Oryctolagus cuniculus: one gene and its partner. The protein of the gene in region 1 purifies or fractionates together with the protein of each later gene. This does not show direct contact. Links are inferred from orthologs where the notes say so. Each region holds a gene or a part of one and is shown in the gene's direction. Other genes may lie near its edges.

Region 1 (3,804 bases):
AACCTGAGTAACTCAGGAACATTTGTTGTACTTGTGATATGTGCAGGTGATGGGATTTGTGCTATATTTTAAACCCGTGTTCCCACTCTCTGCTTTAACAATAACTAAGGGAAGGCGAGTGTTTGACCTTGATTCTCTTGGCTCCTTTTTATCCTGTAGAATATCAGGGGAAAATACGAACTGCTTCAGGCCTGCTCTGCTATGACCAGCCTTCCCGCGGAAGCAGACCTCTTACACTGCATGTTGCACTCATCAACAATGAGCGTTTTCCTTGTCCTTGTAGGACTTTCAAACCAGATTGTATTGTCCTTTTTATAGCCATTGGTTTCTGTCTTCGAGTCCCTGAGATTTAGAATCTCCTCTAGCATGTTTTCCCTCCTCTGCCTCAACGGAGAGCAGAGAATGGGCCAGTTAGCGCAGCCTTTCCGCTCTGCTTGTCAGGATGACCTTGAACATTGGCATACTTCCTTTCTGTGTGCCGGAGCTCTTCTAGCCAAGGAACATGGTGCCTTAAATTTGCTTCATAGTTTCTGAGACATTTTCACATGTTGGACTATCCAAAAATCTTTCGAAGCAGATGGGACAAATACCATTAGGAAGATGATGCCAGGAGCCAAGTGGCTTCTCCAGTGTCCCCGAGCTCACGGGTGCAGTAGCACTAGATTTAGCCTGTTTGGAGCTGTATCGTAGACACTGCAGGCATGGGAGGACCTGGTTAATGGAAGGAGGGTCAGAGCCTGCATTTGTTATTTCCTGATTCTTCTTATGATTCTACCACACCCCACTTTTTTAGAGTGTGTAATTTGCTGATGTTACCTCCAGCTGATCTCCTCTCCTTTTTCCTTTCATCTCCTTGCCAGATGCTTTGTCTGTGGTTTTTGAGGTCATGTTGCAAGAAGCCTTTGACGCGCCATCCACCCAGCTTCTGTCTCTCTATGTTTTATACCACTGCCTGGCCAAGAAGACAGACCTCAGTGTAAGTGATCCGCCCCACAGCAGGGCTGAGAGCTTTGGGAAGAACCAAGCAGTGGCTGCTCAGTCGTGGAGCAGGTGGCCCGTGGAAACATTGCTCTCAGAATCTGGAAAACAGAACCCAGTGTGTGGCTGTGTGGTGGCCCAACACTGGGTGTGCATGCTCAGTCTGAACATTTTAGCTACTGTGTTCTAGCAGAGTTGAGCTGCATGTCTGTGCACTTGACAGAACCACAAGTCACAGTCCCTGTGGCACATCCTGAGCTAGGCTGAGCGACCGTGGACTCTCAGAAGTGGGTCTCTGATCATCACTGAGAGCCGGGCATGGCCTATCAAGAAAGCAAGGCGGCATCTAGCTCTGACCACAATCTGGGGTGCTGCATACTGATTATTTACTTTGCATCAGGGTTTTCGTAAGGTTGTTGTAGGTCCATTGTGTTCTGGAAGGTCCATAAAGACAAATTTTGGTTTCAGGTCCTAGGTTAGGTTGTTTAGTCACTATTTATTGCTTTCCTAAGCATAACAATACTAGTATTTGTGCAGCACTTAACTTCACACCAGGCTGTGTTCTTGTTTGTTTAAACTCATCAGTGCATTTAGGCCTCACACTGACTGTGCCGATAAGGACACAGGGACGTAGAGATGGCAGAGCCAGGCAGTCTGGCTCTGTGGTCTGCCCTTAAGTTCCAATGTAGCCTGCAGAAATCCCAGTTTGAGTAGGAACTGCAAAATGCATCTAGTGCAGGCTGTGTTGTAAAGAACACTTGGTATTGTGTGCCTTCCTAAGTGTCCTAGTCTATGATATTGCCCACATTCGTTAAATATAGTGAGCACCTACTTGTTCCCGCTATTGCCACGTGCTGGTTATACAGTGGTGCACAAACATTTCCTGCCACAGGCATCTGAAACAAACACACAAGCATAAAATTATGACTATAATAAGCATGGCAGTGGAGAAGTCTGTGAAACACCCATGTGGTAGGGAACTTTGTACTTTAAACTTCAGTTGGTTAGAAATGGAAATAGTTCAGAGCTTGTCAGGAAATTGTTCTTGGGTTAATATTGAAGGATGAGCAGGAATTACTTAGCTGAAGAGCAGACAGTACGCAAACTCCCTGTGGCAGGAAGAGCGTGGTGAGCAGATGGCCAGGGCAGCCACAGTGGCAGAGTGGAAGGGAGGATGTGGGCGAGACAAGGTTGGAGAAGCCACGGAGAAGCTTGAATCAGAGGGCATAGCGAGATCAGATTTGTGTTTCAAAAAGCGCCCTCTGGCTGTAATGTGGATGAGATCGGAGCAAGACAAGGATGGATATGGTCAGACCAGCGTAGGGGCTTTTTATTTATTTATTTTTTTTAAGATTTATTTTATTCATTTGAAAGGCAGAGTTAGAGAGAAATCTTCCATCTGCTGGTTCCCTCCCCAAATGACTGCAACAGCCAGGGCTGGGCTGGTCCAGGTCCAAGCCGGGAGCCTGGCACTTCATCCGGGTCTCCCACATGGATGGCAGGGGGCCCAAACACTTGGGCCATCTTCCGCTGCTTTCCCAGGCATGTTGGCAGAGAACTGGATCGGAAGTGGAGCAGCCAGGGCTCAAACCGGCACCCATATGGGATGCCGGCATTGCAGGTGGCAGCTTAACCCATTACATCAAAACACTGCCCCAGTGTAGAGACTCTTAAGGATTCCAGATAAGAGATAATGGTGGCCTAGGGACCAGGATGTGGTGGAATTTGTGACCAGTAGACGTATTTGGGAAGTAAGTAACAAGATGAAGATGTGGAGGCAGGGAGTTAGGGGTCACATACCCCCTTCTCAGTTCCTGGCTTGTAGATCTGTGCAGATGGGGTGCCATGTGTTTGCAAAGGGAATTCTGAAAAGAGATTGGGTTTTTTGAGGAAAATCATGAACTTGGCTGTGAACATCCTGCATTTTGAGATGCTTTTGAGCCGGTCGAGAGATTTCAATAGGGAAATTAGGGGCTTAACAGAAAGATCTGAACTGGAGATGCGATTTTGGAGATTAGTTTATAAACCATATATAAATGTCTGCACATAAGGCTCAGAGCGAAGGGAAGGCGAATCAGGAATGTGTTGGGCCGCAGAGTCCCTTGGAAGAGTGATCTGCCGTGTAGGGTGCTCCTGCGAGGGCGGGGTAAGATGAGGAGTAGAAACAGCTCACTGAATGTTGTAGTTTGGAGGCCCTCAGGTTGTCACCTTGGCTCCCATAGAGTAGTGGGGCAGGAAACCAAACTGGAGTAGATTATGGAGTGCTTTAGAGCTGCAGAAAGGAGACAGCATGTCTAGGTGAGGAGGGAGCCTGGGAGTGTGAGATTCACTGCGTGTGAACAGGAGAGGCACAAGCATGCGACAGGACAACCTTGAGGACCTTGGTGAGCTAGCGCCTGAACTCCTCCAGCGGAGCATCTACAGTAGCCTCTCAGGGTGGGCAGGGATCTGATACCTTATGTTGACACATAAATAGCTTATCGCACGAACAGCTGTAGTTGTCGTATTCCCAGACAATCAAAAAACTCCAGAGTTGTGTCCGTCTGTTCCTGTTCATCTCCCTTGGGAAGTCTGCTTTCCAGTCACCTTCAGCACCTCACCTGATTGCTGGCACATCAAGGAAAACTGTCACTTCAGTATGTCACTACTCAGAGGAGCTTTAGCCCCTAACGCATCCCAGTACTGTAGCCCATGTTTTTCCCCATTGGAAGACATTTCTATATTTTTTAAATTCCTTATTTATTGTTGAACCAGATTTTCACACAGTTTACGGTGGGGGGCACCCAGTTTCCCTTGATTAGAGTGCTTTGCTTTTGAAACTAATGA
Region 2 (4,350 bases), on another chromosome or scaffold:
CGGGTGGGATGCCAGGGGGGCTACGGGACTGGGAGCCAGAACACCTCTCTGGCGGCCGCGCGTCCCTCTGGGGCGCAGTCAGTTCCAAGGACACCTTCGAGACAATTCCCCGAGGTTTAGGACTGCACGGAGGAGGGCCACCCGCGGCCGCCGTGCTCCCAGGGCCCAGCACACAACCTAACGGATGGCCAGCGCCACTCCGTCCATCGGTGGCCCGGGGACCCGAGGACCGTCGGGACGCCCCCGAGCCGGAACAACGCCATCTGCCTACGGTTCCGCACGCCACTCCACCACGGGACGAACACAGCCGGCCAGGAGCCTGCACGCGCGCATCCCCCGCGCCGCCACTTCCCGCACGCCCAGCTCGGACCGCGGCCCGGGGGTGGCGGGGGTACACCGCGGGGGTCTCCGGGCGGCGGACGCAAAGCCGTCCAGCTCCCCCATTTTCCCGCCGCGGAGTCTGCGTTGCATGGTCACCTACCCTCGTCCGCGTCGTACATGTTGGCAAACGGTCCAGGAGATCCTAACCCTCAAAAAGAAAAACCACTGAGACAGAAAACCGCGTAGCAGCCGCCACAGGGCCGCAGGCAGAGACGAAGCAACTTCCGGTTCCGGTGTTCCCACAATTCTCTGCGTCCCCGAAGGCCCGCCCCACCGTCGCCGAGGTGGGATCTGCGCCTGCGCCAGTTGAAGCATAGGGCGGGCTGGGCTCGGGGTCGCTCGGGCGCGGCTGAGCCGGGGCGCGACCAGTCCGAGGCGGAGGGGCGGCTCTACAGCTGCTTCACGTTGAACAAACCCCGCCTGAAAAAAATCCAAGTGAATTTGTTAGCGGTTCTGGCCGTGGCGTGAGCTCGCAGGTTTAAGGCTGTATTGTTTGCACTCCAAAGACCAGGAAGCCACAAAACTAAAAGGGATTAAGTGCGACTTGTGCTGGCCGTAGCGCCTTGAGAAAGCTTGAAGAAAGATTTATTTATTTATTTGAGAGGCAGATTTACAACGAGGCAGAGAGGTCCTCCGACCGCTAGTTCACTCCCCCAGGTGGCCGCAACAACCGCGGAGCTGAAGCCAGGAACTTCCTCCCGGTCCCCGACGTGGGTGCAGGGGCCTCAAGGACTTGGGCCATCTTCTGCTGCCTTCCCGAGGCCCCAGCAGAGAGCCGGGTTGCAAGTGCAGCAGCCGGGACTCGAACCTGTGCCCTCAAGGGAGGCTGATACCGCGGCTTTCCCGCTACGCTTTCATCGCGATAACTCGCGGGATCTCGAGGTGGAAGGAAGCCGCACCTCCGGGGTTTGGGGCAGAACGGGCGCCTGGGGCCCCACTGCGCGTGCTCGGTGGTGGCTCCGCCCCCTCGCGGCGGGCCGCGATCCCCATGCTGCCCGCACGCCTAGCGGGGAGGCTGCTGGGCCCCGTGGTGCGGTGGTCCGCGCCTGCGGTGCGGCTGCTGCGGACGGGATGCGCGGCCGCCGCCGCCTCCCAGCCCCCGTCGGGCCTGCGGCGGGCGCTCCCTCAAGGCCCCGCCGCGCCCGGGGACGACACCGAGGAGCGTTTCCTGTTCCCCGAGTACACCCCGGAGCCGGAGCCCCCGCCGACGCCTGAGGAGCTGCTGCGGGCGCTGCGGGAGCGGGAGCAGGAGCAGGAGGAGCAGGCGCGGCGCCGGGCGGAGCGGCGGCAGGCGCGGGCCAGCCTCCGCGCGCCCCCGGCCGCGGGCCGCCCGGACCCGGCGGTGCCGCCCAGCGGCCTGCCCTGCTCGGGCTGCGGGGCGGAGCTCCACTGCCGGGACCCCGGCGTGCCCGGCTACCTGCCCAGCGAGAAGTTCGCCCGCGCCGCGCAGGACGGCCAGCTGGCGCGCGCCGTGTGCCAGCGCTGCTGGCTGCTGGTGCACCACCGGCGCGCCCTGCGGCTGCGCGTGAGCCGCGCGCAGTACCTGCAGCAGGTGAGCGCGGCGCTGCGGCGGCCCGGGCCCGCGCTGGTGCTCTACCTGCTGGACCTGCTGGACCTGCCCGACCCGCTGCTGCGCCACCTCCCCGCGCTGGTGGGCCCCAAGCAGCTGATCGTGCTGGGGAACAAGGTGGACCTGCTGCCGCAGGACGCGCCTGACTACCGGCGGCGGCTCCGCCAGCGGCTGTGGGACGAGTGCGTGCGCGCCGGGCTGCTGCCGGCGCCGGGCCACCGAGGGCCGCAGCCCGGCGCCGGCGGGGACGAGGAGCAGAGCGCGTCCCGCACGGTGGTCAGGGACGTGCGGCTGGTCAGCGCCAAGACCGGCTATGGGGTGGAGGAGCTGATCTCGGCGCTGCAGCGCGCCTGGCGCTACCGCGGCGACGTCTACCTGGTGGGCGCCACCAACGCCGGCAAGTCCACGCTGTTCAACACGCTGCTGGAGTCCGACTACTGCACCGCCAAGGGCGCCGAGGCCATCGACAAGGCCACCATCTCGCCGTGGCCGGGTGAGTGCGAGAAGCGGGCGCACCGTGCCCGCCGCCGGGCGCCTTCCCTGGAACCTTGCAGCCCTGCGGGGGTCTCGCGCCTCCCTGGCCGGAACAGAGCCGAAGCCCCTGCGCTCTGGCCGTGTCCCTGGAGCTGGCTTCTTCGTAGGGTCCTCTGGCTTTGACTCCCGGCGTGAGGCCAGCGGGTGCTCCACGCACAACACGTGAATAACCCGTAGTGCAGAGCGTGCGTGGGGAAGAAAGGGCGGGTGGTGACTTGGTAAGAAACTTGCGTGCTTGGAAAATGGGTCCCTGTGTCTGTGACCCTGTTTGTGCTGGACTTGGGAGAGCGCACTGCGACAGCCCTGTGTCCCCTTGAAGCCAGACTTCACCCTTGCTTAGTGAGCTGGTCTTCTGCCTTGCGCTGGAGTTGAATTCTCCGCAGTTGCTTTTTACCTGGTGATGTTGAAAACAGCAATCAGACATGCACACGGATTTTGGATTCAAGTCCTGGTTAAGCTTGCGAGCCAATCGGCTTATTTACGACTCCTCCGTGAAGTGGGACTATTTCTAGGGGGCTAGCGTGGAGGTTGCGTGAGAGAAAGCAGCGTACCCCACAACAGCGCGTATCCTCAGAAGCGCTCATTCCTTCCCCTTATTCCCTTCCCCGTGTTCCAGGTACTACGTTAAACCTTCTCAAGTTCCCCATCTGCAACCCAACTCCCTACAGAATGTTTGAAAGACAAAAAAGACTTAAAGAGGACGCGGCCAAAGCTGAAGAGGAGCTCAGTGAGCAGGAACAGAATCGGCTCCGGCTCCTGAAAAGACGTGGATACGTAGTGGGTAAGCGTCCTGTGGGGAAAGCCCTTGTTGGTCCCATGCCGGAATTCTCCCCGAAATTCAGGGGCCTGGGGCCAGCCGCTTGTTGCGGGGAGAGGCTGCCTTGCTTGGTCTCTTTAAAGGCAAGGCTGCCTCCATCTGGAACCCCAGACCGATACTCGTGGTAAATGTTGGTGACTCCGTGCAGCGGCTGCCCTGGGGACAGGCGTTTCATGCAGTAGTTACGACGGCCATGTCCCCTATCAGAATGCCTCTGTTCAACTCCTGTGTGCAAGCTCGCGCTCCGGCTTCCCGGGAGGCAGCAGGTGATGTCCTGGGTATTTGGGTCCCTGCCACCCTCCTGGGAGACCCAGCCTGAGTTCCCGGCTTGGCTGCTGCGCTTCCATCTGGCCCGGCTGTTGAGTTCATTTAGGAAGTGAATCAGCAGGAAGATGATTTCTCGGTCTGTTTTCCAAATAGAATTAGTAAGTTTGCTTTTAATTTGTTCCTACAAATCAAAGAGACCTTGTCTCACTTCTGTACACCTAAGTTAGCCTTCGTAAGTTGTCTGGAGTCAAAAGCTTTGACGGACTGACTGATGACCTCGGTATAATGTGTTCTAGGAAGAGTTGGAAGAACATTCTTGTATTCAAAGGAGCAGAAGGGTGAAGCTGCCTTTGAGTTTGATGCGGATTCACTGGCCTTTGACATGGAAAATGAACCTGTGCTGACTCCAGACAAATCCACCAAGCGAGTGGAATTGACTCCACAGGACGTGAAAGATGCCCACTGGTTCTATGACACCCCTGGGATTTCAAAAGAAAATTGTGTATGTATCTGGTCTCTTCCTCCACACTTACTTTTTTTTTTTTATTTTAATATTTACTTATTTGAAAGGCAGAGTTACAGACACAGAGAGAGAAACAGAGAGAGATCCTCCATGGGCTGGTTCACTCCCCAGATGGCCGCCACAGCCAGAGCTGGGCCGGTCTGAAGCCAGGAGCCAGGAGCTTCCTCTGGGTCTCTGGGTTCAGAGCCCGAGCACCTGGGCCATCCTCTGCTGCCTTTTCAGGCACATCAGCAGGAAGCTGGATCGGAAGTGGAGCAG

What was found.
Region 2: the proteins of MRPS27 (region 1) and NOA1 purify together in Homo sapiens (co-immunoprecipitation; 3 studies listed by BioGRID and IntAct, counting the BioPlex papers as one, with this or other methods). This does not show direct contact. The link is inferred for Oryctolagus cuniculus from reciprocal best matches to the Homo sapiens genes MRPS27 and NOA1.

What each region holds. Positions count from the first base shown.
Region 1 is NC_091445.1:38,743,603-38,747,406, forward strand, and holds part of MRPS27 (small ribosomal subunit protein mS27), read left to right. Parts: intron 1-860; coding exon 861-976; intron 977-3,804. UniProt on the Homo sapiens protein: RNA-binding component of the mitochondrial small ribosomal subunit (mt-SSU) that plays a role in mitochondrial protein synthesis. Stimulates mitochondrial mRNA translation of subunit components of the mitochondrial electron transport chain.
Region 2 is NC_091439.1:107,686,874-107,691,223, forward strand, and holds the start of NOA1 (nitric oxide-associated protein 1), read left to right. Parts: upstream 1-1,326; 5' UTR 1,327-1,369; coding exon 1,370-2,444; intron 2,445-3,101; coding exon 3,102-3,266; intron 3,267-3,865; coding exon 3,866-4,071; intron 4,072-4,350. Other genes in the region: POLR2B (DNA-directed RNA polymerase II subunit RPB2), read right to left, coding at 482-500. UniProt on the Homo sapiens protein: Involved in regulation of mitochondrial protein translation and respiration. Plays a role in mitochondria-mediated cell death. May act as a scaffolding protein or stabilizer of respiratory chain supercomplexes. Binds GTP.